Stegostoma tigrinum: one gene and its partners. The main gene of each other region encodes a partner of the protein of the gene in region 3 in a complex. Links are inferred from orthologs where the notes say so. Each region holds a gene or a part of one and is shown on either strand. Other genes may lie near its edges. The genes, in order: arid2, pbrm1, smarcd1 and dpf1.

Region 1 (7,917 bases), on a different chromosome or scaffold from region 3:
TACAGCACTCCAACAGATGCTCTCAAATCCATTTGGAATACTCTCTGCTGTATTACTTAAATATGACCAAATTACATTCAAGTATTCTCATACCAAGTTACCCAAAAGTTGTCAGATAAGCTGTCGAATTTTTTTGAATTCAAACAGATGCAGCTTTTCTAGAACACACAAACAATATCATTGAAATGAACAGAAGCAACCGTTATTGAACCTTAACCTGGAAATTTTAAACGTTGTGCAAGTTAATCACGACAAAATTTTCTGCACTGCTTGTTCAAGGCTTCTGAAATGTTAATTTTATTTTGAACCACTAAATTTGTACAACACTATTGAGTGGAAATAGTGCACAAAGCCAACTATTTCAGAATCCAAGTACTCCCAAAGCACGACATCTTCATAATGCTTAAACCAAATTTGCCTTTTCACCTCATTCTTATCCACAAACTTCCCATCAATCCCAACATCCAGTGGAAAAATTGCCTCAGCTCAGTGAATCCACCATTAAATTATTTCATTTCCATAACTTTCAAAAAAAATTAACCATCCTTGCAAAAGAAAGGAAATAAAAATACTGGGACAAAACAAGACACTACACACTTTTAAACCAATTTACAAAATATAGCCCTTCTACATCAAACTGGTTTTACTGTTTTGAAAGAGTTATGGATTTACATTTAAATAAAAAAGATACATACTGTATCAAGCATTACTGTCAAAATCTCCCTGATGAAAAGTTTGAAAAAAGCTGGAGTACTGATTGGTTTTTGGAAAAATTCTGTTCTGGCAACAAAATTTACCAACAGAAAACACCTGCGTTGTTTCACGTATGCTACTTCCTTCCAGGTAGTTTCTGAACTGCTGTAAATGCTGCAGAACGCCTCAACTATAAACTACCGTAAAACTGGGTCACACCTGTACAGTGTTCTTGCTCTGTAAGTTTAATACATTTTAGATCAACTCGCCATAATACTTCAAAACCCCAAAAACGAAACAACAGTTCAAACATCAATTTCAAAAACTTAAAAAGCATTATTATTTCATTTCTACAAAAAGTAAAATAAATGTCGTTTTCAAGAGGAAAAATAAGAAGGTACGATTGCAATAGTATCACTATTTTCTCTAAATTAAATCCCTTGTTCCCAACTTTGAACAGCTATAGCAAGAATCGACTTGAACCGAACATAAAATGCATTATAAAGCTCACCGTAAGTAATATTGTTTTAAGGCAAATGATGCATTCGGACAACCTTTCGGAAAGTTTAATTCCTCCGTTATCTGTGACCATTTGTTCTTGTCAGTTACCTGCACCAAAAAAACACAATAATCCTGATTAATATGCAGACACGTTATCAGATAGCAGAATATACCATCTGTTCCTTCTAAGGCTTTAAAACAACATGAACAGCGCCGCAATGTTGCCTGAGAAAGAAAAAAAACGGGTCAGGAGCGAAAAAAAACAAAAACTTTGCAACACTTTCCTGGTTCAGAAGACAAAAAAGGGGGGTCGACAAGTCTTCGCATTTTCAAACGTTCGGGCCACCCTACGGGCCTACGTGAGGCCTACGATTTTCCCCCTCAACCACGAAGCCTGACACAGCGGAGAGCTCCGTCCCCTCCGCTGCGGCGAGTAAAAGAAAGGCAAACGAGTGGTGCGAGCCTGTCCCCTGAAGAGCATTTCCTACCCCAGGCACACTCACGATTATCGATGTTAAGCATGCCCGCTAATTTTGACTTGGCTGAAGTGCGCGCAGTGAAGCAGCCGCAGCAACTGCAACGCCAGGCCAGAGACAGGCAACTGCCATTTACAGCTTCACTGCCACACACACACACACACACACGACAGAAATCTTTTCCTTTGTAAACCTTTAAAAATAAAACTACAGCCCTTCCGAGCGGGTTTTCCAAAAAGGAAACGTTGGGGGGGGGGTGCTGGTGGTGATAACAGATTTTTAAGACGCGCGTACGGCGAGAAATTAAATTAAACACAACAGACACAAGATATTCACCTTGGCGAATCCTCCCAGGCTGGTGACTCTGGTGTAGAGAGCGTGAAGATCCAGCTCCTTTCCGGCAACTATTGGGATCTTTTTAAAAGGCGTCCTGAACAAGAAGTGGTTGTGGTGGGGTGGGGTGGGGGGGTAGAAATAAAGAAGAATAAAATCAGACCCTCACCTCCTCTTCACCAAAGCGCCCGTCCAAAGTTTCGCCCAACGTATCCCCCGGGTTTTTCCCCTTAAATTATAAATAAAAATTTCGGGGTTGGGGGGGGGGGGTGTTTAAAATCCTTACCCTCTGTTGTGGTGAAACTGCCGCAGCTCCTCCAGGAACGCCTGCCTTTTTCTCCTCGGGTCTGACGGCTGCATTTTCCCCATCGAATTTGCCATCTTTTTCATTGTTGTATGTGTGTGAGGGGGGGGAGAGAGAGAGAGAGAGAGGGAGAGAGAGAGAGAGAAAGAGAGAGAGAGAGTTTTTTTAAGGGGTGGGGGGTGGGCGTAAAGGATAAATAAATAAAAATAAAAAGCCTCGGGGAACTTAGTCAATGTCTGGAAGGAGAGCCGGTCCGCCGCCGCCGCCGCTCAGTCATTGATGGAGCGAGTGCGAAAGTTTAAGAGAGAGAGAAAAAAAGAGGAAAAAAGAGCAAAGACTCGCTTTTACTCACTCGCTGCACTCTTCGATCTCCTCTCAACCAAAAAAAACACACACAAAAAAACAACTTACATCTTGTTCTCTATTGTATGTTAATGTGGTAGACAATATAAGTGTGTGTATTTATGGTATAAATATATTTTTCTTTTCAGACGGGCTGCAGCGGCTCCATGCAGTTTAACATTAACTCATACACGGGAGAGGACAAAAAAAAACATAACACGCACACACACACACACATTTATATATAATTTTTTGGGGGGGGGGGAGAAAGGAATGAAAACACAGCGGCGGTGCTGTTGGCGGCCGAAACACCGGCGGCAGCTCGAACCTCCCTCGGAGAAGCGAAACAATAGCGCCTCGTCTCAACCAAACCGGCCACCACAGCCTGGGCCCCGGGAGGGGGTGCCACTATTCAACCATTACGCGACACCCCTCCCCCATCGCGGATCCTTCCCCCTCCCCCACTCTAGCTCTCGTCTATCTTCCTCCTCCCCGCCCGCGCCGCTCTCTACTCCGCCCACTTTCGCCTCTCGCGCTGCTCTCTCCTCCCCCTCCAAGTTTCCCCTTCTCTCGCGCTGCTTCATCCTCCGCCCACTTTCCCGCCCAGTCCCGGGGTAACGGCTCACAAAATGGCGGCGCCCAACAGGGATTGAGGAGACGTTCGGTTCTCTCCCTATGGTTCCCGCACAAACGCTGACTCGTATGTATTTATGCGTACAGTATGTGTGTCTTTTTATTTGTTATTATGTGTAGCGAGGATTTTATTCAAATCAGGCGGACTCCTTTGAAGAAGGCGCAGCGCTGCGATCTTTTTCGTGGTTTTTATTTAAAAATAGTTTATAAAAAGGAAGGTGGTGGCCGTCGTCTGCTGGAAACAGTGTTGTGTGAGCCTCCGTGTGAAGGGAGAGATGTTAAGTCAAACAAAAACTGAAGCCGCTGGAAAAGTTCAGCGGGCCTGACAATATCTGCGAAGAGAAATCAGAGTTAATGCTTCTAATTATTTTCTTTGCTCTTTGCCTTTCGGCTTTTAGAGTGACATGATAGGTCTTCCTTTAAAATAATGTGTGCTTTGGTGAAAAACAGTCGTGGGTACTTTACTTTTAGTCTTGTTCTTGCTTAAAAGTTGACAGGGAGCCCCAGGGCAGGCAGTTGTTTTGACTTGCAGGTGTTTTCATCAACGGGGATATCCCGGACCAGTGGGTTTTGTTGTGAGATAACAAGGTGTAGGGCTGGATGAACACAGCATCAGAGGAGCAGGAAGGCTGGTGTTTCGGGCCTAGACCCTTACTTTATCGTGCTCGGGCTGAGGGTTGAATTATTGGAGATGCGTGTGTAGGGAAACAACAGAAGCTTATCTTCGTCCGAAATCCTTCCAAGGTACTCGGAGACCCTCAAATGTCAAGCGGAAAAGAATTGAATCTTCATTTGATAATATTCATACCGCTTTGTATATGCTTCTACCACAACATCCTGAGCGCTTGACGGAGGGATTGGCATATCGAAATTACCATGGAGCATAAGGAGTGTCAGGCAGCATGTTAGGAGCAGTAAAGCTTTTTATTGACGTTTCGGGCCTAGACCCTTCATCAGAAATGGGGGAGGGGAAGGGTGTTCCGAAATAAATAGGGAGAGAGGAGAGGTGGATCGAAGATAGATAGAGGACAAGATAGGTGGAGAGGAGACAGACAAGTTAGAAGCAGGGATGGGGCCAGTAAAGGTGAGTGTAGGTGGGGAGGTAGGGAAGACGGAGTAAGATGCTGCTTGGCCTTCTGTGTTCATCCAACTCCACACCTTGTTATCTCAAGTTTTTCTTATTGTCTATTAGTGTATTTGACTGGGGGGTTGGGGATGCAGGCAGTGTGTTCCAGTAACACTGACTTGGAACACCCCTCATGATGCATAGTAAAGAGTTGTGAATGAAGATCCATGTGTGCTCCTAGACACAGGACTGGAGACTCCTCTTTGACAACCCCTCCAACACTTGGTGTCATTGGGTGGGCCAGCATTTATTGCCCATTCCGAATTTGCCAGAAGACATTTAAGAATCAGCCACACCGCTGCAGGCCTGGAGTCACATGTAGGGCAGTTGCCTTCCCTGAAGGGCATTTGTGAACCTGATAAGTGTTTTTTTTTCGATAATCAGCCAATGATTTTGTGGTCATCATTAGACTCTTTAATACCAGATTTTTATCAAATTTAGATTCCACTATTCAACATTATCTGGATCTGTGGATTAATCATCTAGCAAGCATACCGACCATGCTATCACATCCCCTTACATGTTTAAAAACTTGTGTAAAATTTAACAACACATAGCAAGTTTTGAGAAGACTTGTAGCTCAGGTTGAGGTTCTGGATGTGAGTTTGCTCGCTGAGCTGGAAGGTTAGTTTTCAGACGTTTCGTCACCATTCTAGGTAACATCTTCAGTGAGCCTTCGAAGCTTAAGTGTAAACTGCATGTGATAGAGCTAAGTAATCCCATGCCTAATAGAACCAACTGTAAGCTGTGCAGTCCTTCCACATCAATTGGTGCACAATTAAACAGATCATTTGAGGAAGTGGTTCTGCAAATAAGTTGGAGGCCAACACATCAGTGCAAAAGATTTGGCTTAAGCATTTGCAAGCATCTTCAGTCAGAAGTGCTAAGTAGACACGTGACCTCCTGAGGTTGTCAGACTTCTGCCAATTATATGTTCTATTGACTGTGATGTTCAAGAAGCAGCTAACAGAACTGCGTACTGCAAAAGCTGTGGACCCTAAAGGATGAATCATGGCATGGTCAGTGCTGTCAAATGGCACTCAACAAAACCCAGTTCATTGCTCTGTTTGAGTTCCACCACACCTACTCAGCTCCTGATCTCATTATGGCCTTGGCTCAGACATAGAGAAAAGAGCTGAAGTTGAGGGGAAGTGAGTGTTACTGCCCTTGACTTCAGGCTTGCATTTAACCAGGTGGCATTGAGGATCCCTCGTAAAACTGGACTCGATGCAAATTGGGAGGAACAATCTCTGCTTTTGCTGTTAGAATCATAGCTAACAGAAAGAAGATGGTTTTGACATTTGGACTCTGGGACCTATAATGTAGATACACCCAACTGTTCAAGGAAGCTTCTCACCATAACTACCTTGGAGAATTAGGGGTGGGTTTTGCAATGGTTAGATCAGTCTATCCCACAAATGAAGGGATAGTGTGGTGAGACTAACAGAAAGATTGGCAACTGTTAGAAGTACATTTAGACAGTTGTGTAGTAATCAGCAGTTCACCTCATTCGTGCATTGGATGTCGGCATATTGAAGGACTTGAAAGGGAAAATGGAGATTCCTGATGAGGTGATTAATTCTCAGTGAGGTGGGGATATAGTTTAAGTACAAATTTAACAGTAGAGAAAGTCACTAATCTTCAGCTGTGATTAGATGCTAATAAATTAGTTTGTTTTTGAAAATTACAAATAGCACGTTATGTACTTGGAACCCAGATTTCTAAACTTCATTTTTTTTTGACCTGATGCCAGTGTGGGTTTGTAAAGACTGGAACCTGTCTGTTTTTTCTTTCTTTCTCTCCTGCTTTCTGCTTCTGCTCCTCTTTGCCCCCAACCCCATGTCCTTTGTAAATTTCTGCTAATTTGGATTCTTTGTAGCAGAGCAATGAGAAGCTCATGCATTTTCATGCTCGGGCCAATGTGGCTGAATTAGTTATAATAGCCTCCCTTAGATTCTGATGATCAAATCTTAATAGTTTGTGAGCTAATGGCTCAGCCATTTGATGTTTTAATTTGCTGAGCTGCTGGGTTGGTGGTTTAAAATAATGTGCTCATGGTATCAAAGTTTCCTTAAGCTCTTTTTGGCCAGTCACAGATAAGTTTGTAGATGCTAGTACAGTTTGTTTTGCATAATTTAATCTACTTCCTCCAACAGGAGGAAAAAGCAATTCACCCTAGTTGTGTATGGCAAATGACAAACATCTTGTGGAGGAACTTTCAGTGCCTTTGATCGAAGTAATCAATTTTTTTAGAGAAGTTGCTATCCATAAAATGGACACCTAATTTTATCCTCTCCGTGGAGCTTTAAATTACAATGTTCCAAAATCTAAGTTCCTTTGGTTGAGAGTATGAGTTACCTTCCTTGCTGATAAATTGTTTCCAAAAGTGGATGGCCTACAATATGCATTGGTTAGTAGTTGCTAAAAAGTAGTGCTTGTGGAATGCCCGTTCACATTTTGGGTGCCCACGGGCATGCGGAATCTCTTTTGTCATGTACTTGTCATACAGCACCGGTCACTGTGCTGTCAGCATTTTGATAATTGCGGCTCTCATAACTAAATCCAGTAATGTTCTTAATCAAACTGATCAGTGTTGTGACACATATCCAGAAAGTGAACCTTCTGGCCAGGAGAACAGACGTGACCATGACCACAGTCTGACAAATAGCTATGATTTTCGTACACGTTGAAGGTTGTTACCATTTACATCTTCCCACTAAAAAGTACATTTCATTAATCTGTCAGTTTTCTGTTCTTTTGCCAGCAGATTTAGCACCACTTTCGTACTTGCATATTTCAAAGATTGTGACTAGACACTCTATTTACTCTATCATTGCAAGTATTAAATAATACTTTTTCTTCCAGTTCTTTAAATGGTATTTTCTTTTTTGCCCACTATCTCTCTTCCATACCAGCCATGACAACACTACTTATTTCATAGTTAGTGTACCTCCATTAGACTTGTCCTTTCTTTGACTACAATTCAACTGAAACTCAAGATTTAGCTGTTTTTTTGAAGTAATATGATGATTATGTTGAAATAGTATTGTCTTTTGTTTGCAGCAGTTCAACAATTTATTTAATATTTTAATAAATGCTTAGCAAATGTTATAAACGTTTTGGCCAGTGTAAAATTTATTTTAAATCTGCAGTCAGTTGGGCAATAGATTTGTGAAATTTATATACGGTTCTATTATTGACTAATTCTTTGAAGTAACAAGCAGGATATTTACTGCTTCACTTGATTTTTGACAAGCTGAACGAATGTGTCAAATGCAGCACATTGGATAAATGTGAGTTTGCCCATTTGTGGCAGCAAAATCAGGGAGGCAGATCACTAAACCAAGAGAGGGCAATGTGCAGCAAGACCTGGATGTCCTTGCTACACCTTCATGTACTTCAGTTGTTGAAGGTAGGCAAGTGGTAAAGAAGGTAAATGGTATATCAGTGAGAGGATTTAAGTACAGAAGCAGGGGTGTCTTACTACAATTTTATACAGGGCCTTTGCA
Region 2 (7,420 bases), on a different chromosome or scaffold from region 3:
GGAACCATTCTCCATATTTTCTCAAGGCACAAACAATAATTGATTTAAAGTTAACAGTATCAAATAGCAGTATTAAGCAATTTAAGGTTATGCCATAGACAAACATACAACTTGTAAAAATACAATCTAACAGAACATAAAGTGCTCACTTGGAAACACCACATTAGGACAAAAGGTCATCCGATTCATATGCAAAGTCCGTCTAGTCCAACTTCAGTTTTCTAAAGTCATAGAGCAAACTTCCAACCTCTGAGGCCTGGACCAAGTTGAAAGCATGTGGGGAAAATATACACACAAAAATGATACCCAAATCTTGCGCACTCATAAACAATACTTACTCCTACAATTGTCAGGCAGTTTCCCACCACCACCCTTGCCCAATCTTTTTCCATATTTGCTTTTCTTTTATATTCTTCAGTTATTACTTGCACAACAAACAGGGTACTGGGGTGGGGAACAGAAACAGCACATGGGAAAGTAACACAGCTGTAGCAAGGCAGATACCTTTACAGTATAGTCTCATTCATGAAATTGTTCCAATTCATGTGACTTTGTCTGATTCTAAGTATTAAATTGGCTAAACAAATACACTGCTTAACCATAGGAGTTTTTTTTCAGGGACAGTAAAAGGAAAATTAGACAACAATATCCTAAATCATATCTTATATTGGTTGGCCACACTCAAAGAAAGTTTACATGCTATTACGCAAAGATTTGTTCTGCTGAATGTCCTAGTTTTGTCCAAAAAAAGCCTTTCTCTTGTCTTTCTAAAATTTTTCTATGATAAGCTAGGGATGTCTATGCACTCCCAACATCTGAAACAAAAATAGAAATTGCTGGAGAAATGCAGCAGATCTGACAGCATCTGTGGAGTGAAAGCAGAGTCAATATTTTTGGTTCAGTGACTCTTCATCAGAATGCAACACTCCTGATATCACCTCTATCCTACCTCCTCCCAGTCATAAACTGCAGACAAAAAAATACTGCACTAGCACACTTCTTTCCACTTATGTACTGGTTTTGCAGCTGTCAAATCAATGTTCTATGCCTGTAACAAACCCTTCATGCAGGTGTTTTTCTTTACTTTCTGTTGGCTGGCAGGGGTAGCCAAATGTTTTGATTTATATTAGGCAGCCTCATATTTAAAGTTTTTACCAGCAGATACTGTACTAAAGTTAACATATAGCATGAGAATCAGGTGTAATGAGTTGGAATCGGTCAACTTGATGGGCTGAAGGGCCTTTTGTGGACTGAATGATTCTAATCATTGAGACAACATGGTTAACAGTACTTTCCAAACTATTAAGTCAGTGAAATTCAAAGAGGACAAATTAACATTTTTTAGAACAGAGAACAAAATAATTGTGCCGGCATTTTTAACAGGGTATCACCAGAGCTTACAGACGTAATTATCTCGTAATTTAAATAGTCAAATAATGGTGCACATCTTGAAGAAACGGATAATCTTTCCATAGATTCAAATGCAGGGCGCCTCAGTGCATAAAAATCTCTGGAGTTTTTTTGCAAAGAAGTTTCTTAGGAAGATAGTAATTTATAGATGGAAGCAGCATCGTGTTTATTGCCTGAATTCAAAATTAATTTTGATAATATCGAAGTGGATAACATACTGATATGTCAAAATAAATGTCAATCATTCACATTTGTTGAAGAAGTTATTTCAGTACTGACAATTTGATGGACTCACCGTAAAGATAGCAGACTAACTGCGTCAATGACAGGATGAACAGTCTATCTCACAAACTAATGAGATAAGAATTAAAAATAAAAAGAAAAGCAATGTTTGGAGAAATAGAATGGGTCAGAAGTGTGTAAAAAAAGGAAGAGAGAAATGTAAGCTTAAGTGGAAGAGAGTCAAAAAGGAAAAGTTAAACAACACAATTTATAATCTGTAGAGGAGATCCATCTGTCTTAATTATTTCCTTTTAAAGTTAGAGATGAGGTGACTTTGTGGAAACATGAATCTTGTAATTAAAACAGTTCTTACACCATTTAGTACTAGTCCTGCTTTTCTATAACAAGTCAAAATTCATTTTAACAGAGCAAATAGAATAATTTCTTAAAAGTCACAGGTCAGCTGGCTGCCAGCTCCTGCTTTCGCAAAGCAAATTTTGTAATAACATGCAACACATCAGGTTATCTCAAAGTTGCCATGAATAGCTGCGCTACTTACAAATTCATAACTTACAGTGAATTCACTGTTACTTTCTCAGCAAATTCTGGCCTAACGTTTTTGCCCAGTGGATCTTAGTAAACTGTGACTATGTGGAAAATTTGGTTTAATTGGACAACTTTTTTAAAAACTGAAGTGCCATCTTAGAAATGTAAATATGCTTAAAATGTTGTTATGACAACAACCATAAAAATGTGGCATGTTCCCCTAATCAGGAAGTGTTCTATTCCTAGGATTACCGGCAGATTTTATTCCCCGATTGTACGCAGCTCCATTTCAATTTAAAATAAACCCACTGACAACAATACTAGTTCATTGTCTTGACATCTTAAATGTACGTTCAATCACTGAATATCCAGCAACGATGTCTGGATGATGTAGGCAGGGTACATTTCATTCATACCTTTGGAACAGGGCGAAAAATAGGCTTAAACGTAAAAGTTAAAATATCTGCTTCCTTTCAATATGGGCAGAAACAAAAACAGCTCATTTAGGCGCTGAATGAAAGGTGGAATGAACTGAGAGGTGGACACAAGCCATCGCGCGGTTGAAATCTTGACTCCCGGGAGCTGACTGACAACAAAAGAAGCAGCGGCCTGAGCCTCACAAACACCTTGGCAGCCACGCAAAAACAAACTGGAAAAAGACTGCAGGCACAACTTCCACACATCACTCATCTCAGTACAACTCAGCAACCGAAGCCGTCCTTACCCTACTCGGCTGATCCCGAAAGAATATATGATAAAATAATAATAATAACAACAAGAGATCCACAGTCTCCTCCTATACCCAACTATGCCCCTATCGTCAGCATCAGCGGCTCAGCCGTAAAGCGGGTCGGGGATAGAGTATTGACGACATTGACGTGCTCTCTCACTGTGTGTTTACGGCAGGCGATGGGACGTTTGGGACTTTGTCACGTGGATTGCTCTTTTTGCAGCCGGACGGTATGAAGCGGCCGAGTGAGTTGTGTGGCGTGGAATTGTAGTCTTTACTGTTCGTTACATTCTTTTTTTTATCCGCAGGAGTTAGTATTGTTTCGATTCATTGCCCTCATTGTTGCGTTTCCTTACAGAGCTGAAAAAGGCGAGCAAGCGCCTGACATGCCACAAGCGATTTAAGATCCAGCGAAAGGTGAGCCGGGGTGGAATCCACGAGTTGTGGACGCCCCAATATTGGGTACATTGTTCGCTCTGGGAAAGCTTGTGAGATATAATAACCGGATCGTAATGTATTGAAACTGGCTAAAGAAAGAGCAAGTACTTTTATAGCCAACCTGAACTGCGCCAAGCCCCTTCACAATCACCTAAGTTAGTACTTGTACGAGCACGTGGCTTTAAGGCAAACTGCGTAACACATAGTCAAGTACAATTTGGTATAAACTCTTAGTATGCAGTTCGAGCACCTTGCAATTTTTGTACATCACGCTATTTAGAAAAAGTTTACTGCAGCCTATTCACATTTTTAAATGATTGGGCAGGAGTATTGGATGATTAGATTATTAACAAAGAGCAGATGAAATGCATTTTGTAATGATTGAGAAGTTCAGGATACGGATTTAAGATGGAGTTTTGGAAATCTTTTCATTATGTTAAGCTGACGGAAGAGAGATAAACAAGAATAGAGTGGACATATGTGAGCATGACTTATGGTCCTTGTCAACTAAATGTCAACAGACATGTTTCTGTTGTAATTTTAGTGTTTATTCTATATACTTTTTGTAATTCACTGCTTGAATTAGTGTGCAGTTATACCTCATTGATATTTCAAGAAATTTGCAATTTACAATCTATAGAGCCTTTTTGAAGAAAACCACCCAGATTTGACCATTTTTAATAACGTGACAAAGAAACATAGTACTGGGTCATTTGGCCCTTCGAGGCTATTTCTCCGTTTGGAACAATGGCTGATAATTTTGGGGTCTCAGTCTCACAATTTGACTGACTCCATAAACCTTGGATGTGTGTCAATCTTTTTAATTTAGCCTTTGATAAATTTTATATTTATTAGATTGGATTAACTGCAGTGTGGAAACAGGCCCTTTGGCCCAACAAGTCCACACCACCCCTTGAAGTATCCCACCCAAACCCATCCCCATTCCCCTCTAACCCACGTACCCCTGAACACTATGGGCAATTTAGCATGGACAATCCAACTAGTCTGCACATCTTTGGACCATGGGAGGAAACCGGAGGAAACCCACGCAGGCATGGGGAGAATGTGCAGAATCCACACACAGTCACCCAAGGCTGGAATTGAACCCGGGTCCCTGGCGCTGAGAGTCTGCAGTGCTAACCACTGAGTCACTGTGCTGCCCTAATTTAGTGGCACAATTTCCAGTGGAAGAGATTCCACAGACCAACCGCCCTCAAAAAAAAACTTTCTCACTTAAATGGGAGATCTTTTAAACTTGTACTTTGTTTCTCGTGCTAATCTTCCCCACAAGTTGATAAAACCTCTCAGTAACCACCCTATCAAGACCCCCCAGTATTTTAAAAACAAGAATTGGATTTTAGAAATCTGAAACACACACAAAATGCTGGAGAAACTCAGCAGGTTTGACAGCATTTGTAGGGACAGAAACAATGTCTCAAGTTCATTGACATTTGTTGTGACAAAGGGTCAGTGGACCTGAAATGTTGACTCTTCTTTGCTCTCTGTAGACACTATCAGACCTGCTGAGTTTCTCCATGTTGTTTGCCCCAGTATCTTGTATATTTCAATAAGATCATCCCTCATTCTTCTCAACTCAGTGAGTACAAGCTCGGTTTTACTTCTAAACTACTTCTAATACAGTTCTTTTTCAACTGAGGAGAACAAGACTGTATCATTTTCCTGGTGTGGTCTCACCAATGTCATGCACAGCCGCATCTAAACATACTCTGCTTTCATGCCTTTCCCCTTGCAATGAGTACCACCATCCCATTTACCTTTCTAATAACGTGCATGCTTAATTTGTAATTTATAAATCAAAACATCCATCCTCTGTATTACCAAGTTCTGTCGTCTACCTCCATTTAAATAGTGTATGGTTTTTCTATCTTTCCAGTCTAAATGAACAAGTGCTCCTGGGATGCTGCTTGGCCTGCTGTGTTCATCCAGCCTCACATTTTATTATCTTAAGTTCACATTTTCCCCCATTATACTCCATTTGCCAAATTTTACCCATTCGTTATCTTGGAATATTATATGTGATTATCAAAACTGCTTTGAGTGACAGCCAATATCATGGTGCAATAATCCTATAAATTATTTACATTCCTTGATCACTTAAAATCTGTACATATTGTTCAACCTCTGTATTAATATGTGGAACACTGCAGGTGTTACCATTTCTGGACACATTTTTTCAACTTTCAATGAGGTGCCAGCCAGCAAGAAAAATAGTGCTGTTGTAGCGTACAATGCAAAGAAAGAAAGAAACTCGGCAATTATTTTGTTGGGAACTTATTCGAATATATTATTAAACACAGAATGACTGGACACTATAAAAAAAGTGCTGATTAGACAGAACAAATGCAGACTTGTAAAGGATAGGTCTTGCCTAATTAATGTAATTAATCTTTTTGAGCCAGTAACTACTGTTAGGAGGAAAGTGTCTCTATCTAGAAGTTATGAGCTTGATTGGAAAGGAAATGGCTAATAGAGCCCAACAAATATCAGTGCTTGGGCCTTCAACTACCATTGTCTTAATGATTTGATAAAAATAGATGGCAACATTTGTTTGCAAATGATTGCTGTTGTTCTAATTAGGTTAGAAAATAGCACAAGATTACAGAATTGAAAGATTGTAAGTGGACAAAGAACACTTGCTGACACCACCAAAATGGTCTAGATGTGCAAGTGTAAAAATGAGCATGCATAATATGTTTGCCGGTACTGTCAGTGACATCATTCCATCATGTTTATTGTGCTTATTTGGGTGCTGTGTTTTTACGAGTTGGGTGTTTCATGAAGTGTGCATCTGCTGAACTTGCCACATGTACAATCTGAATCTTTTTTAAAGTGTCAAAAGAGAGAGCTGTTGACAAAACTTCTAGATGAATTGTAGGTAAGTGTGAGGCCATCCATTTTGTAATTTAAAAAATATATTTTCAATGGCAAAAAGCTAGGAGTCATAGAGATGTACAGCATGAAAACAGACCTCTCGGCCCAACTCCTCCATGCAACCAGATATCCTAAATAAATCTAGTTCTATTTGCCAGCATTTGGGCCATACCCCTCTAAATCCTTCCTGGTCATATACCGATGTGGATGCCTTTTAAATGTTGTAATTGTACCAGCCGTCTCCACTTCCTACAGCTCATTCCATACGTGCTTCACCCTACGTGTGAAAAAGTTGTCCGTTAGGTTCCTTTTAAATCTTTCCCTTCTCGCCTTAAACATATGCCCTCTAGTTTGATCTCCACTACCATGGAGAAAAGATGCCTATTCACCCTATCCATGTCCTTCAGCCTCTGATGCTCCTGGGAAAATAAACCTCCACCACCCATAGATTGGGATATTAGAGATTTAGAAGTCTATGGACACATCACTATAACTAAGTTGTCTTGTAAAATAATCAAGACGCCATATGGAATGTTAGCCTTTGTGATTAGAGAGCTGGGATAGAAAAAGGAGGAATTGTTGCAGCAGCTATACAAGGCCCAGTTCAGACTGTATCAGGAGCACTTTGTACAGCGCTAGGCTTTGGATTTTGGAAGTTATCCATTCAACTGGGAACGAGTACAGTGCAGATTCACCGGAGAATTAAATTAAAAACAAAATTAAATGTATCTAGGATTAATCGTATTTTTAAAAAAGTTTATATTTTCTCTGAATTGAAAGCCCCATCTAACTGGAGTCTGGTTGCAGCAGCATTGTTAATGTTTCAACTTAAATCATAGGTTCGTGAACATAAGCGGAAAACACGAAAAGAAGCAAAGAAACAAGGAAATAAAAGTAAAAAATCTCGAAAGGATCCTGGTGTGCCTAATAATGCTCCATTTAAAGAAGCAGTTCTTCGAGAGGCTGAACAAAGGAAACAAAACGTAAGAGGACTCTGCTTATGTACAGATGTTTGATATTTTATAGTACTTTGTCTGACGCAAGCTTCTATGCCAGTTTAACTAAATTAGTGACTTCTGCATTTACGATGCCATAATTTGAGATAGCTGACATCTTGAAATATGTTGTAATTTCCTCAAACTCAAAATGTGTTTGAGTATGTAACCCGAAGTTATCTGGTAT
Region 3 (7,290 bases):
GTTCCTCAAGAATTTCAAAGAATGAGAAACCTACAAAATATTTTAGGGATAAAGAGGAGATGCAAGCAAAATACATCCCTTTGCTGGGGAGTTGAGAAGTGGGAGGGAGGGACGCCATTTAAAAAATAAGGGGAATACCATTTAGGACCAAGATGAGAATTTCTTTTAATCAAAGGGCTGTGAACCTTTAGAACTCTCTCCCCCACCCCCAGAGGGCTGTGGACGCTCAGTCTTTCAGTATGTTTAAGGTATAAATTGATAGATATCTCATTATCAATTGTGCAAAGGGATACAGGTATAGCTAACATGATGCTCAGTAGCAGTGGTGCATCGATGTGCTTCTGAGATTTTATAAAGCTCTAGTTAGGCCCCATTTAGAATACTGTGTCCAAATTTGAGCCCCACACCTCAGGAAGGACAATACTAGCCCTGGAGCGTGTCCAGCAGAGATTCACACGGATGATCCCTGGAATGGGAGGCCTAACATACGATGAACGGCTGAGGATCTGGATTTGTATTCATTACAGTTTGGAAGGTTGAGGGGAGATCTAATAGAAACTTACAAGATAATGTATGGCTTAGAAAGGGTGGACACTGGGCAGTTGTTTCTGTTAGGCAGGGAGACTAGGCACAGCCCTAGAATTAGAGGAGGTCAATTTAGAACAGAAATGAGGAGACATTTCTTCAGCCAGAGAGTGGTGGGCCTGTGGAATTAATTGCCATGGAGTGCAGTGGAGGCTGGGACTTTAAATGTCTTCAAGGCAGAGATTGATAATTCCTTGCGAGATCAAGAATTTAAGGGCTACGGGGAGAGTGCGGATAAGTGGAGTTGAAATGCCCATCAGCCATGATTAAATGGCAGAGTGGACTCAATGGGCCGAATGGCCTTACTTCCACACCTCCTATGTCTTACAGAGCTCAGAACAACTTTCTCGCAAGATGAGCCGCTCATGCTATCAGAGAAAATTTAAACTAATCTGACAGGGGTGTAGAAAGCAAAGGCAGAAACAGACAACATTCGAATAGCCAATAGCAACATACCAGGCAGGGTCAGACTAGGAGTAAGAGAGAAGGAATAAAGTTTAAATTAGGATTATTGTGGACATTTGGGAATGTGCAGACTGGTGAGCAACAAGTGCAAACTGACATATGGGAAGACTAAACTTACAGAAGGACCTGATGCTCAGAATGCTTGAATAAAAGGTGTCCAGGAAAGATACTGCAGTACTGGAGAAAGTGTGCTCCTCAGGGGTGTCAAGTACAAAGTCTGTTTTAGAACTAGGGAACAAGGTCTAATTATATTGCTTGGTGTAGTCTATGGGCCACAAAGTAGTGGGAAAAATGTAGAGGAACAAATTTGCAAGGAAATAACAGAGGCATTAGAATTACACAGAGGAGTTATAATGGGAGAGAACTTTAATAATCCAAATAAAAACTAAGATAACAGTAGCATAAAGGGAAGAGACAAACAAGAGTACAAAGAGTGTGCTCTGGAGAATTTTTCTACAATAGTATGTTGAGTCCAATGCGAAAGATTTAGCTGGGCCTAGATTTTGGGAAGGTGGTGTGTCAAGTGGATCTAGTGCCAGATTAGAGAAATTGGGACTATTCACCTTGGGAACGGCTGAGAAAAGACTTGATCGAAGTGTTCAAAGCCATGAAGGGTCTGAACAAAGTACAGAGAAAGAAACGGTTCCCATTAGTTGAAGGATCAAGAACCCGAAGACACCAATTTAAGACATGAGGCAGTTAGAATCTGGAATGCACTGCCTGCAAGTGTGGTGAAGGCAGGATCAAATGAGACTTTCAAAAAAGACTTGTATTTTTGTCTGAACCAGAAGCATTTGCAGGATAAGGCAGAATGGCAAGAAGCAAACTGCTTCTTCAACAGGCCAGCAGAGTTGAACAACCCCTCCATGCCATAATCATTCTGTGATTACAAGTACAGTAGCAATCTCCCTGGAGTCTTGAACAATATTTATTTCTCAATCAACATCACCAAAACAAATTGTTTATCACAATGCTGTTTGTGGGGGATGGCTGTACACAAATTGATTGCCATGTTTCCTGTGTTATTATTGAGAGTACTCATCAAAAGCACTTTCAGATATTTGGTGGTTGTGAAAGGCCTTATATAAATACAAGTTTTGCTTTTCTGTTAACATTTGCTGGCCAATTTGTGGTGAACTAGGGTTCTCAGTCACTGCCTGAGAGAAACACTATCTACCATACACAATTTACACCTGGTTCTCACAGCCAACAGCTTTCATCACCATCTGCCTGTATTTCAACACAGGACAGAAAATGTTTTAAACTGCTCAGCAGGCCAGGTACATCAGCCACCTTTGAACAAAACCCCTATGATTCTATCAAAGCCACAGGGATCCTGAGAATATCAAGCATTTTTCTCTTTTTAAGTTCAAGTTTCCTACATCAGTAGCATCTTGTTCAGATTTAACCACAACTAGCTTCCAAATTCAAGACTAAGAGTCAAATCTGAACATGACTCAAAATAAAATCTTTTCAACTTACATAACTGTAGAAAAATAATCATAAGACATTACAAACCAGTCTGTTCGGGCCTAAAGAGCAAGGCAAGAATGTGAAGCAGCCTTAGGGGATGCAATCAATTATCCAACTGAAGGAAACAAAGGAAGCTAGGGTCAGGTCAGATGTAGAAAGACCAATCTGGTCATTCAGGAGGCAAGAAAGGAAGCTTGCTGGCTGTGGCCGGTTCGATTTAAGGAATGGGACCTGCCTTGGTCAGGACAAGGGGCCTCGCCTTTCCCCCCACCCCCTTCATCACACATAGTTCCATATCCCGGCCCCTCACTTACCGGGTATCCCTGGCCTGGCATGGCTGAACGGAACATGTTTTGTTGTTGAGCTCCTGTTATCCTGCCCGGGGCCTGCCCCGTCCCTTGTGCTTGGCCAGGCCCCGGACCCGCTGCCATAGCAGCCGCCGCGCCCGGGCTCATTGTCTGGAAGCCTCGCGCCGCCATCTTCGAGAAGGAACTCTTTCGCACCGGAAAGCGATAACACTGCTTCCGGTACGCGGCCCAGCCCGCATGCGTTAATTAATCGCCTGAAACAGCGCCCCCCTCTGGGCGGATGCTGAACTCCAGAGACGGCGACACACTCAGGGCGGAGACTAAACTCCACAAACAGGGCCATCCTCAGGACAAGGGCGAAACTCCAGAAATGGCGTCACACTGAGGGCGAAGTCTTGAACTCCAGAAGCAGCGCCACCCTCAGGGCGGAGACTGCAAAATAACGGAGAAGGCCCCAAGAACAGCGCCAGCTGGTGGGAGAGTTAAATCCACATGGTTTTATTCGGTGTCACGTTGTAACATGTAGTCATTGGGCTAACCAAGGCTTTTCCAGTGAGTTACATGCTGCCTGATCATTGAGAGTTTTTTTTAGAAAGTTCAAAGGGTAAGTGAGGAAGGGAGACAAATAGAAAATAAGTGGAGATTGGCAGTCAATTCAAAAGGGAATGCAAAAGCTTTTTTGGGATATGTAAGTAACAAAATTACATGAAGAGAAGGGATAGATCAGTTAGGGACAAATGCACATCCAAGGTATCAAATGAGTACACTGCATCTGCTTTTAACAATCTTAGCATCCTTACATTTGGCCCATCAAGTCCATACCAACCCACCAAAGAGCATCCCACTGAGATCCACCCTATCCCTGTAACCTTGCATCCCCCTTGGCCATCCCAGCCAGCCTGCACTATGGGCAATTTAGCGTTGCCAATCCACCTAACCTGTATAGTTTTGGACTGTGGGAGGAAACCCATGCAGACATGGGGAGAATGTACAAACTCCACACAGTCACCCAAGGGTGGAATCAAACCCTGGCGCTGTGACACAGTGGTGCTAACCGCTGAGCCACCGTGCCACAAATGAGGAAGCCGCTGTCATACTTAAGATACTGGCTGAGCTCAGGTTTGACGAAGAGAAGAAGTCAGTTTAACCTACATGGTTAAAATGCTTTTAGAAGTGATAATTGGGATTAACATTAATCGTCGCCTGACTCATTTACGAAGGAAAGCTCACATGGATTTGTTAAAGACAAGTCCTGTTCCACTAACCTGATAGAGATTTTTTTAATGAAGTAACACAAATGTTTAATGGGGGTAATACAGCTGATTTGATTTAAATAGGCTTCTGAAAAGCATTTGACAAAGTGCCACATAATGGTCTTGCTGGCAAAAGTGAGGCATGCAAGGGACAGTGGCAACAGGGGTTATGCAGTTAACTGAGTGACAGAGAACAGTTGGGGGTGAAAGGTTGTTTTGTAAAGGAGGAGTAGAGTTTGCCATGTTGAAATGAGGACCATTACTTTCCTTGATCTATATTAATGACCAAAATTTACTTGTCTAGGGCTTATTTCAACAGTTCCAGATGATACAACTATTGTGAACCCTGAGGAGGATGATGATAGAGTGAATGAGGACATTGTGATGTAAGCTGTGTGGTTTATATAGGTTTTATTATAATTTAGTTTAGAACTTGGATTTTGGACTAGTGGCATTTGGGCTTTGATCTGTGTATGAGAGAGAGCTGAATGATTAACTTGCCACTATATCCAGAGCTGTCATTTTTCTTTTCAAAAAAAACGATGAGAGAGGGGTTTTTTTGGAGAAGCAGTGGGAATGTATTTGTATTGGGAAAGCTTACTGAGTAAACAGGCTAAACATTGAGAAGTGCTCGGCTTTCAGTTAAACAAATCAGCTTTTTTTTGCATGAGGAAACACCTATAGCTCATGTCCTGGTGAACCTGAGATGTGTAAAATAGCCTCTTCTAAAGAAGGGCGATATTTAAGAATTGTTAAGAAAATAGGTTACCTCACCATCAGGAGTTTAGCTTGGAAACCCTAGACCAGAAGTGCTTGGTTAGAACCTTGAAGGAGTTATTTGAAGCTGAGAAAGACTAAGGTCAGTTGTATGGACACTCAAGGAATGAATTTTCTGAAGAAGAGTCCCGATCCAAAACATCAACTTTCCTGCTCCTATGATGCTGCCTGTCCTGCTGTGCTCCTCCAGCTCCACACCTTGTTATCTATAGCATTATGTGTTTGTATTTCAATGAAAGACTACCTTGTTGAATTAAAGAAAGACAAGATACGATCTGTCAAGCCAGATTTCTGCCCAGGATCTGGCATTTCCAGTGCTAACATCAGTTGGGATCATAATAACATGGATAGGCTGGTAGAATAGACAGACATGTGGAAAATGTAATGCAAAGAAGCAAACTATATTGATAGGAAGATCAAAGCAAGGCATCATATAAGGTTGGGTACATCTCTAAAGAGGTTGCAGGAGCAGAGTGATGTGGGGTTAAATGTACACAGACTGTGGAATGTGGCAAGGCAGGTTGAGGAAATGCTTCATAGGTGTACAGGACTTTAGGCTTTATATATCGAAGCATTGTGAGTAAAAGCATGTAAGGGTAGCACGGTGGCTCAGTGGTTAGCACTGCAGCCTCACAGCGCCAGGGACCCGGGTTCAATTCCAGCCTCAGGCAACTGTCTGTGTGGAGTTTACACATTCTCCCTGTGTCTGCGTGGGTTTCCTCCGGGTGCTCCGGTTTCCTCCCACAGTCTAAACATGTGCAGGCTAGGTGGATCGGCCATGCTAAATTGCCCCATGGTGTCCAGGAAGCTAAGTGGGTTTGCCATGGGAAATGCAGGGTTATTGAGGGGTGGGGGTGTGATGGGATGGTCTTTGGAGGGTCACCGTGGACTTGATGGCCTGAATGGCCTGCTACTACGCTATAGGGATTCTGTGATGAACCTTTAGAAAACACTGGTTTGACCTTTAGTGGATGATTACGCCCAGTTCTGGGTCCTGCACTACATGAAGCATGTGAGAGGGTGAAGGAAAGATCCATGAGAATGGTCCTGGGGTGAGACACTTTGAGTAGGTTGGAGAAGCTGGGACTATTCCCCTTGGAGAAGAGAAGACTGAGGGGGAATCTGTTCAAAATGAAGAAAGGTCTGGGCAGAGTGGTAGGAAAACTGGTGTAAGGTGATTGGTGAAATATACAAGGGCAGCACACAGTAAAAAACCCTTTTACTGCAGCGAGTGGTTAGAGTCTACAATGCAAGTGGTCGAGAGTGTAATGGAGGCAGGGTTAATCAATGCTTTCAGGAAGGGAATGAGATAAGAATCTGCAAAGGAATCCTATTCAGGGGTACAAGGGGGAGTGGGACTGACTGAGTTCCTCCTTTGGAGAGCCACTATAGACTCAAGAGGCTGAATGACCTCCTGTAAGCTGCTACGGTTCTGTGGATCTGCCATATCTGTGTTGCATAGGGGAAGGTGGATGGTACAAATTCGAGGACGTAAATTGCATTTGGACAAGACCGTGGTTATGCTGCAGGACTACATGACAGCAAAGGGTAATGGTAGGCTGCCATTCAAGAAGAAAGGCTAGAAAAATAGAAGCTTTCTACCCTGTCATAAAGCAAGATGTGATGGAGCCTCACACCACGACAAATCTGTTACCCATCTGGCGAGGCTTAATTCGGTCGCCCCGAGTAGGGGAACAATTTGAATCGATTCATGTTGGGGTAAGAGGGAGAGAGAGATAGGAACTATCTTCACGAGGCTTTGCAGAAATTCACCAAAGATTCTCAGACAACACCTCCTAAACCCATGACCACTTCCATCTAGAAGGACAAGGGCAGCAGACACATGGGAACACCACTGCCCTGCGAGTTCCCCTCCGAGACCTTGTGGAGAAAGAAACGAGAGTTAACGTTACAAGTTCAACGTGACTGCTTTTCGGACTGTGACAAGCCTCATTAAACTCGTCCTTACAGTTTATCTTTACAGTGTACATTCACAATTCATGTTCTGCAGACTTGAAACGCTCACTCGTTTCTCTCCCCACAGACGCTGCCCGACTCGCTGAGTTTCTCCAGCATTCTCTGTGTTTGCTTTGGATTTCTGGCAACCACAGGGTTTTACTTTTAGTTTATAATTCTGTTCTGGGTACCTACCTTCATTACTTCAGACCATTGAGTATAGGAGTTGGGACATTGTGTTGTGGCTGTACAGGGCCATTGCTGAGGCCACTTTTGGAATACTGTGTATAATTCTGGTTGCCTTATTATAGGAAGAATGTTATTAAGTTGGAAAGCATGCAAAAAAATGATTGACAAGAATGTTACCATGACTGGAAGGTTTGGGAAACCTGGATGCGTTGGGCCGAAGGGCCTATATGACTGTGAGGGTGACGCACCACAGTGCAGTACTGAGGGAGTGCTGCTGTTCGCAT
Region 4 (7,613 bases), on a different chromosome or scaffold from region 3:
GAGGGAAGGGAGGGAGGAGGTGAAGGGGAACAGAGGGAAGAGGAATGGAGGGAGGAGGAATAGAGGGAGAGTAGAGGGAGGAGGGGAGGGGCAGTAGAGGGAGGGGGAGTAGGGGGAGGGGAGTAGAGGGAGGAAGGGAGGGGGGCTTGAGGGAGGAGGGGAGGGGGTTGAGTGGAGAGTGAGAGGTTTTGTGAGAAGAGGAAAGGGGAGAATAGGTGGACAGGTGAGGGGGAGGAGGTGAGGCTGAGGGGTGAAGAGGCTGGAATGGCTGGGGGAATGGGCTGGTGACAAAAGGAGGTTTGGGGGGTGTTTAGAGAGGAGAGGAGAGGGAGATAGAGGCGGGGAGGAGGGAGAAAAAGAAAGAAGGGTTGAGGGAGAAAGGGCAGAGGGAGGAGGGCAATAGTGGCAGAGGTGAAGTGGGACCAGGATCTTTGGGAAGTGGGGAGGAGGTATGCGGAGGCGGGGGATGGTAGTGTTTGGTGAAGTGTAGGGTATCCTTTCCCTGTGCATCCCAAAATTCCTGCAGAATCCAGACTAACTGCTGACCATTGAGCGTGAGCTCCTCGGTGCCTTTCTCCTCCAAAATAATTCAGAGAGAACTGTTCAGGGACTGGGACCGTTAGGAATCCTTACCATCTAATTGCGACTCATGGCGGGGTGGGTGGGGGGGAAGACAGCTAAAATATTCGAGGGGCACTGGCCCTTCAGCTGAAACGGACTGTTGGGGGGGGGGGGGGGAGCAGTGCTTAGTGTCACTGCTGTGAGACTGTGTTGTGTTCATCCAGTTGCTGCTGGTCTCCCCATCTGGTCCTGACCTCGTGCAAACGCCTCACTCTTTGACCCTCTCTTGTTAAAATTCAGTCCCTACCAATTCCGACACGTTCCTCCAGCAGCCCCCACCCCCTTCATGCTGACCCTGTCCAGGGCTGAATCCCTCCCCACCCCCAAGACCTAGCAATGTGAACCCGAGCACTGAATTACAGAAAGGATACAGTGCAGGAGGAGGACATTCGGCCCATCGTGTAGGGGCTGGCTCTCCAAAGGAGGTCCCACTCCCCCCACCTCCTCCCCGCAGCCCTGGGCGCAATCTCCTTCAGCGGGTACCCAGGTCTGTTTTGCCAGCTGAAGCTGCACATTCCAGACCCTAACCACTCACTGTGGGTAAACATTTCTCCTCTTGGCCCTACTCTCACAGGCCTTAAAACTGCATTGTGTGGCACTCAATCCTGACAACCCCCCAGGGGTAATGTTTCCACTCTGTGGGTTTGCATACTTGATTTGTTGCTCCCAGGCTATTCAACTAGGTGGGCATCAGAGGCCAAGCCAAACGAGGCTCACTCTTTGCCCATCTGTAAGCTGTACAAAACTCTGGTGCGGCCGCACTTGGAGTATTGCGTACAGTTCTGGTCACCGCATTATAAGAAGGATGTGGAAGCTTTGGAAAGGGTGCAGAGGAGATTTACTAGGATGTTGCCTGGTATGGAGGGAAGGTCTTACGAGGAAAGGCTGAGGGACTTGAGGCCGTTTTCATTAGAGAGAAGAAGGTTGAGAGGTGACTTAATTGAAACATATAAAATAATCAGAGGGTTAGATAGGGTGGATAGGGAGAGCCTTTTTCCTAGGATGGTGACGGCGAGCACAAGGGGGCATAGCTTTAAATTGAGGGGTGAAAGATATAGGACAGATGTCAGAGGTAGTTTCTTTACTCAGAGAGTAGTAAGGGAATGGAACGCTTTGCCTGCAACGGTAGTAGATTCGCCAACTTTAGGTACATTTAAGTCGTCATTGGATAAGCATATGGACGTACATGGAATAGTGTAGATTAGATGGGCTTGAGATCGGTACGACAGGTCGGCACAACATCGAGGGCCGAAGGGCCTGTACTGTGCTGTAATGTTCGATGTTCTATGTTCTATCTGAAGTCCGCAGTATTCCACTTCACTGCTGGGTTTGGTGACCATCAGTGTTCACAGTTACCCTCATCTTTCTGTGTGGTTGATGAACACGCACCAAGGATGGAAATGGGTGCCTGGTGGAGGTTGGGGAAGGGGGTGCAATGTGTTTTATATGCCCTCAGTGCTGTCAATCCCCCTCCTGCATCTTCAGAATTGCTGCAGGGAACCAAGAGAGGCTGACATTTGAAAAGAAAACACAACCCATTTCTCCCTAACCTTCAGAGAGGCATTTATCAGGCACACAAGGCAAAAAAATGAAAATAAATGACATTTCACTAAATCAAAAGTATGACAAAAATCTCGAGCTTTCAGATTTGGTTGCAAAACTGAAACAGGTATTCAACATAACAAAACAGCAAACGGAGATATTCTTTGATGGGGGTGGGGGGGGGGGTTGTTTTCTGTCGGCTCAACGTCTCGCCGCCCGCTCCACCGCCTTTAATTACCCTGCAGTCCCCAGCGTCTGCCCCCGGGCGGCGCTGGCGAGCCGCGGGTGGCTGCAGCCCTCCCCTTGCTCTCATTAAAGGCGAGCGGCTCGCTGCCGCTGAGCCCTGATCAGCCCATTAGCCAGCACTGTAAAGCACATATAACACTGGGCTACAATATACTCCACATGCCAGCAAGTCACCTTTAAGGTGAGGAGGCAACTGCATCCAAACAGTTTCCAGCTGAAATGGAAGGGGAATGGGGGGGGGCAAAAAAAAGAAAATTAAATAGAACAACATTGAAAAAAAATTAGAAATAATGCAACCTGCATAAGAAAAAAAAATGCAACACTAATAGAAGGGTGCAGAATATTATTGAGTGTAATGCACTTGGCATCTATTGCAAAACCTCTCCTGAATTGCATGCAAGTTTTTTTTTCATTTAAGAGGGCTGCCAAATGCAAGAAAGGTCTGGGGAAATTGCAAAAATGCAAGGCAGAAATTTTTGCAGATACTCACGATTTTAAAGGATTCTGAATGACTGTCGCCATTTTGATACAATAAAATACAGTAGGATCACAATTGTGGTTTTAACATTTCATTTGGACCATTCACAATATGGAACAGGGCTGCGGCCACGAAACAGCCAATCAGCAGCCCCCTGGTGCCTGGGGAGCGACGTCACCTGTGTGGAGAGGGGCGTGGCCGCGCCTGCGCCTCAGCTCCGGGGGCGAGATTGGGGGGAAATGGGGGGTAATCCCAGTGTCTGCTGGGAGTTGTAGTCCATCCCCCCACGCTATCCTCCACTATGGGGGGCAGTAATCTGTGCCGACTGGGAATTGTAGTCCTCTCCCCTCTTGTGTCCCCTTTTCCCTGGGGTGGCAATGCCCACTCACTACAAAGACAGAAACCTCAGGGATTTGATTGCATTGTAGAGGGCGAGAGGGTGCATAGGAGATTCACCTAGTCACAAAGAGAAGAAACCTCAGGGATTTGATTGCACTGTAGAGAAAGAGAGAAAGGGTGCATAAGAGATTCACCTAGTTACAAACAGAGAAACCTCAGGGATTTGATTGCACTGTAGAGAAAGGGAGAAAGGGTGCATAAGAGATTCACCTAGTTACAAACAGAGAAACCTCAGGGATTTGATTGCACTGTAGAGAAAGGGAGAAAGGGTGCATAAGAGATTCACCTAGTTACAAACAGAGAAACCTCAGGGATTTGATTGCACTGTAGAGAAAGGGAGAAAGGGTGCATAAGAGATTCACCTAGTTACAAACAGAGAAACCTCAGGGATTTGATTGCACTGTAGAGAAAGGGAGAAAGGGTGCATAAGAGATTCACCTAGTTACAAACAGAGAAACCTCAGGGATTTGATTGCATTGTAGAGAAAGAGAGAAAGGGTGCATAAGAGATTCACCTAGTTACAAACAGAGAAACCTCAGGGATTTGATTGCACTGTAGAGAAAGGGAGAAAGGGTGCATAAGAGATTCACCTAGTTACAAACAGAGAAACCTCAGGGATTTGATTGCACTGTAGAGAAAGGGAGAAAGGGTGCATAAGAGATTCACCTAGTTACAAACAGAGAAACCTCAGGGATTTGATTGCACTGTAGAGAAAGGGAGAAAGGGTGCATAAGAGATTCACCTAGTTACAAACAGAGAAACCTCAGGGATTTGATTGCACTGTAGAGAAAGGGAGAAAGGGTGCATAAGAGATTCACCTAGTTACAAACAGAGAAACCTCAGGGATCTGATTGCATTGTAGTGAGAGAGAGAGAGGGTGCATAGGCGATTCACCCAGTTACAAACACTGAAGCCTCAGGGATTTGACTGCACTGTACAGATAGAGAAAGGGTGCAGAGGAGATTCACCTAGTCACAAATAGAGAAGCCTCAGGGATTTGATTGCACTGTCGAGAGAGAGAAAGGGTGCAGAGGCGATTCACCTAGTTACAAACGGAGAAACCTCAGGGATTTTGGTGCACTGTAGAGAAAGAGAGAGAGTGCACAGAAGATTCACCTAGTCACAAAGAGAAAAACCTCAGGGATTTGTTTGCACTGTAGAGAAAGAGAAAGGGTGCAGAGGAGATTCACCTAGTCACAAAAAGAAAAACCTCAGGGATTTGATTGCACTGTAGAGAAAGGGAGAAAGGGTGCAGAGGAGATTCACCTAGTTACAAACAGACAAACCTCAGGGATTTTGTTGCACTGTAGAGAGAGAGAAAGGGTGCAGAGGAGATTCACCTAGTTACAAACAGACAAACCTCAGGGATTTTGTTGCACTGTAGAGAGAGAGAAAGGGTGCAGAGGAGATTAACTGGGATGTTCATGTGGTGCTGGAGTGATTCAGCTATGAAGAGAGAAGGGAGAGCTTAATTTCCCTATAGCGGAGCGGGTGGCTTGACAAGGGTGCACTGAAATCTGAACAGCATAGACAGGGAGAAACTTTCCCCCTAGTGGAGAGGTCTCTCACTGTGAGTCACAGTTTAAAGACAAGGAGCAGCACGTTCAGAGGGGATTTCAGGAAGATCTTTTTTACCCAGAGGTATCTAGAACTCACTGTCCAAAAGGGTGGTAAAGGCAGGAGCTCTTAGCATATTTTGGGGGAACTGTTTCGATGAGCACTTGAAGTGCCAAAGAGAGCTCACTCCACATGTGCAGTCCCTGCCACCCCCACTTTTGCAGAGTTTTATATCTTTAAATTTTCAAATGGGCGGTGTTGACGTTTGCAGAAAATTAACCACCAGAAGTTTCATTTGTTTTTCAATTTTGGCTGGATGTAATGGTCGGCGCATGTGATACAGGGGCAACTCGAGGTGGGGAGGAGAATTAAAGTCACTTGGTATGCGATGCTCTCACCAACACCGCCTCGTCAATGGAAGGGATGTGTTCAATCCCCTTTCCACCCCCTTCACCCCCCAGACTTGAGCACCTGTTCCAGGTTGATATTCCCGGTGGCTGCACTTTCAGAGATAACACAGTGTGGATCTGGAGGAACACAGCAGGTCGGGCAGCTGTTTCGGGTCAGGACCCTTCTTCAGAAATGGTTTTCTGAAATCTTCAGATTTCTGAAGGGTCCTGACCCAAAATGTCAACTTTCCTGCCCCTCTGATGCTGCCTGACCTGCTGTGTTCCTCCAGCTCCACACTGTGTTATCTCAGACTCCAGCATCGGCAGCTCTTACTATCTCTGAGTGAGCTACACTGTCAGAGCTGCTCCCACTGAGATGTTAAAATGTGAATTTCCTAACACTTTCTCAGCTATAGTAGGACCTGCAGTTGCTGGAGAATCTGCGATAACACGGTGTAGAGCTGGATGAACACAGCAGGCCAAGCAGCATCAGAGGAGCAGGAAGGCTGACGTTTCGGGCCTAGGCCCTTCTTCAGAAAATGAAGAAGGGTCTAGGCCCAAAACGTCAGCCTTCCTGCTCCTCTGATGCTGCTTGGCCTGCTGTGTTCCTCCAGCCCTACACTTTGTTGTCTCGGATTCTCCAGCATCTGCAGTTCCCATTATCTCATGTATTTCAACCTTTCTTTTCAATATCCCCCCCACAACCTATCAGCCACGATCTCATTGACTGGTGGGGCAGACTTGATGGGCTGAATGGCCTACCTCTGTGCTTACAATTTCTTGCTCACTGGTTGGCGCTGGCTGCTGTTCAATAAACACCCTGATTTGATCATTATCACTGGGTTTCCAGATCTCCTCCATGGCCTCCCTCTATCTCTGCCATCTCCTCCAGCCCCACTACCTCCAACCCTGGGAACCTAGAAGCCCTGCAGTGTGGAAGCAGGCCATTCAGCCCATCAAGTCCACAACCCACCTTCAGACACCACCCCACCACCCCAAACCCCTGTAACCCTACACATCCCTGGATACTATGGGCAATTTGGCAAGGCCCATCCACTCTAACCTGCACATCACCATAGAATCCCTGCAGCATGGAAACAGGCCACTCAGCCCTACAAGTACACACTGACCCTCTGAAGAGCTTCCCACCCATCCCCTACCCTTCCCCTGTGACCCTGCATTTCCCATGGCTAACACATCTAACCTACACATCCCTGGACACTATGGGGCAATTTAGCATGGCCAATCCACCCTAACCTGCACATCTTTGGACTGTGGGAGGAAGCCGGAGCACCTGGAGGAAACCCACGCAGACACGGGGAGAATGTGCAAACTCCACACAGACAGTCGCCCGAGGATGGAATCGAACCCGGGTCTCTGGCACTGTGAGGCAGCAGTGCTAACCACTGAGCCACCATGCCGCCATCAGAGATCTCTGCACCCACCAAATTCCAGCCTTTTGAGCATTCCCGATTTTAATCCTTCCATCTGAGGAAGGATGTACCGCAAACAGAGGTTCCCTGAGACTGATTCCTAGTATAATGGGGCTATCCAATGAAGAGGTATTGAGGATGATGTGAAGGTGCTGGTTGGACTGGGGTGGACAAGGTCAGAAATCAGACGACATCAGTTACGGTCCAAAAGGTTTATTTGAAATCGCAAGCTTTTTGAGCACTGCTCCTTTGTCAGGTGAAGTGAGAGGGAAGCAAACGTGACTTGATCGAGGTGTACAAAATGATCAGAAGTGTATGTAGAGTGGACAGCCAGAGACCTTTTCCTAAGGTGAGGGTAACTATTATGAGGGAACATAGTTTTAAAGGTAGATATAGGGGAGACATCAGAGGTAGGTTCTTCTTTACTCAGAGAGTGGTCGGGGCATGGAATGCATTGCCAGAGACGGTAGTAGAGTCGGCCTCATCAGGGGCATTTAAGCGGCTATTAGATAGGCAAATGGATAATAGTATAAGGTAGGGGTGGAGGTTAGATATACCTTAGGTTTAGGATAAAAGTTCAGCACATTGTAAGCCAAAGGGCCTGTACTGTTCTATGTTCTAGGCAGGGAGATCAAAAGATCACACACTAGTATGAGTGGAGTATCAGTAATAAACTCTGTAAGTGATCCGCAGTGTCAGATGGTGTGAGTAAAGTGTGAATAACAAGTGAAGGGATGACCTATAATCCAATTAATGAGGCAAGGAGATAATTACAAAAAAAAATAAAATTAAGGTGGTGCTGGAGATGAGTCAAATGGCTGGAATAACATGAGGGGGCTCGAGAATCGCATGCCGAGGGTCTAACCTGAGCATCAACAATATAAAACTGCACCAACTAATTAAAGTAGAGAGATCATAACAGTTTATCAAAGTGATGGTGTCAAAGCA

What was found.
Region 1: smarcd1 (region 3) and arid2 share a complex: the UniProt entries of both Homo sapiens proteins name them as parts of the SWI/SNF-B (PBAF) chromatin remodeling complex. The link is inferred for Stegostoma tigrinum from reciprocal best matches to the Homo sapiens genes SMARCD1 and ARID2.
Region 2: smarcd1 (region 3) and pbrm1 share a complex: the UniProt entries of both Homo sapiens proteins name them as parts of the SWI/SNF-B (PBAF) chromatin remodeling complex. The link is inferred for Stegostoma tigrinum from reciprocal best matches to the Homo sapiens genes SMARCD1 and PBRM1.
Region 4: smarcd1 (region 3) and dpf1 share a complex: the UniProt entries of both Homo sapiens proteins name them as parts of the neuron-specific chromatin remodeling complex. The link is inferred for Stegostoma tigrinum from reciprocal best matches to the Homo sapiens genes SMARCD1 and DPF1.

Annotation. Positions count from the first base shown.
Region 1 is NC_081371.1:57,499,491-57,507,407, forward strand, and holds the start of arid2 (AT-rich interactive domain-containing protein 2), read right to left. Parts: upstream 3,014-7,917; 5' UTR 2,394-3,013; coding exon 2,290-2,393; intron 2,101-2,289; coding exon 2,007-2,100; intron 1,303-2,006; coding exon 1,205-1,302; intron 1-1,204. UniProt on the Homo sapiens protein: Involved in transcriptional activation and repression of select genes by chromatin remodeling (alteration of DNA-nucleosome topology). Required for the stability of the SWI/SNF chromatin remodeling complex SWI/SNF-B (PBAF).
Region 2 is NC_081364.1:19,748,783-19,756,202, reverse strand, and holds the start of pbrm1 (protein polybromo-1), read right to left. Parts: upstream 3,020-7,420; 5' UTR 2,903-3,019; intron 257-2,902; 5' UTR 190-256; coding exon 150-189; intron 1-149. Other genes in the region: gnl3 (guanine nucleotide-binding protein-like 3), read left to right, coding at 3,141-3,153, 3,267-3,325, 7,078-7,221. UniProt on the Homo sapiens protein: Involved in transcriptional activation and repression of select genes by chromatin remodeling (alteration of DNA-nucleosome topology). Required for the stability of the SWI/SNF chromatin remodeling complex SWI/SNF-B (PBAF).
Region 3 is NC_081404.1:15,152,330-15,159,619, reverse strand, and holds the start of smarcd1 (SWI/SNF-related matrix-associated actin-dependent regulator of chromatin subfamily D member 1), read right to left. Parts: upstream 3,017-7,290; 5' UTR 3,003-3,016; coding exon 2,838-3,002; intron 1-2,837. UniProt on the Homo sapiens protein: Involved in transcriptional activation and repression of select genes by chromatin remodeling (alteration of DNA-nucleosome topology).
Region 4 is NC_081392.1:15,780,065-15,787,677, reverse strand, and holds the start of dpf1 (zinc finger protein neuro-d4), read right to left. Parts: upstream 3,012-7,613; 5' UTR 2,932-3,011; coding exon 2,900-2,931; intron 1-2,899. UniProt on the Homo sapiens protein: May have an important role in developing neurons by participating in regulation of cell survival, possibly as a neurospecific transcription factor. Belongs to the neuron-specific chromatin remodeling complex (nBAF complex).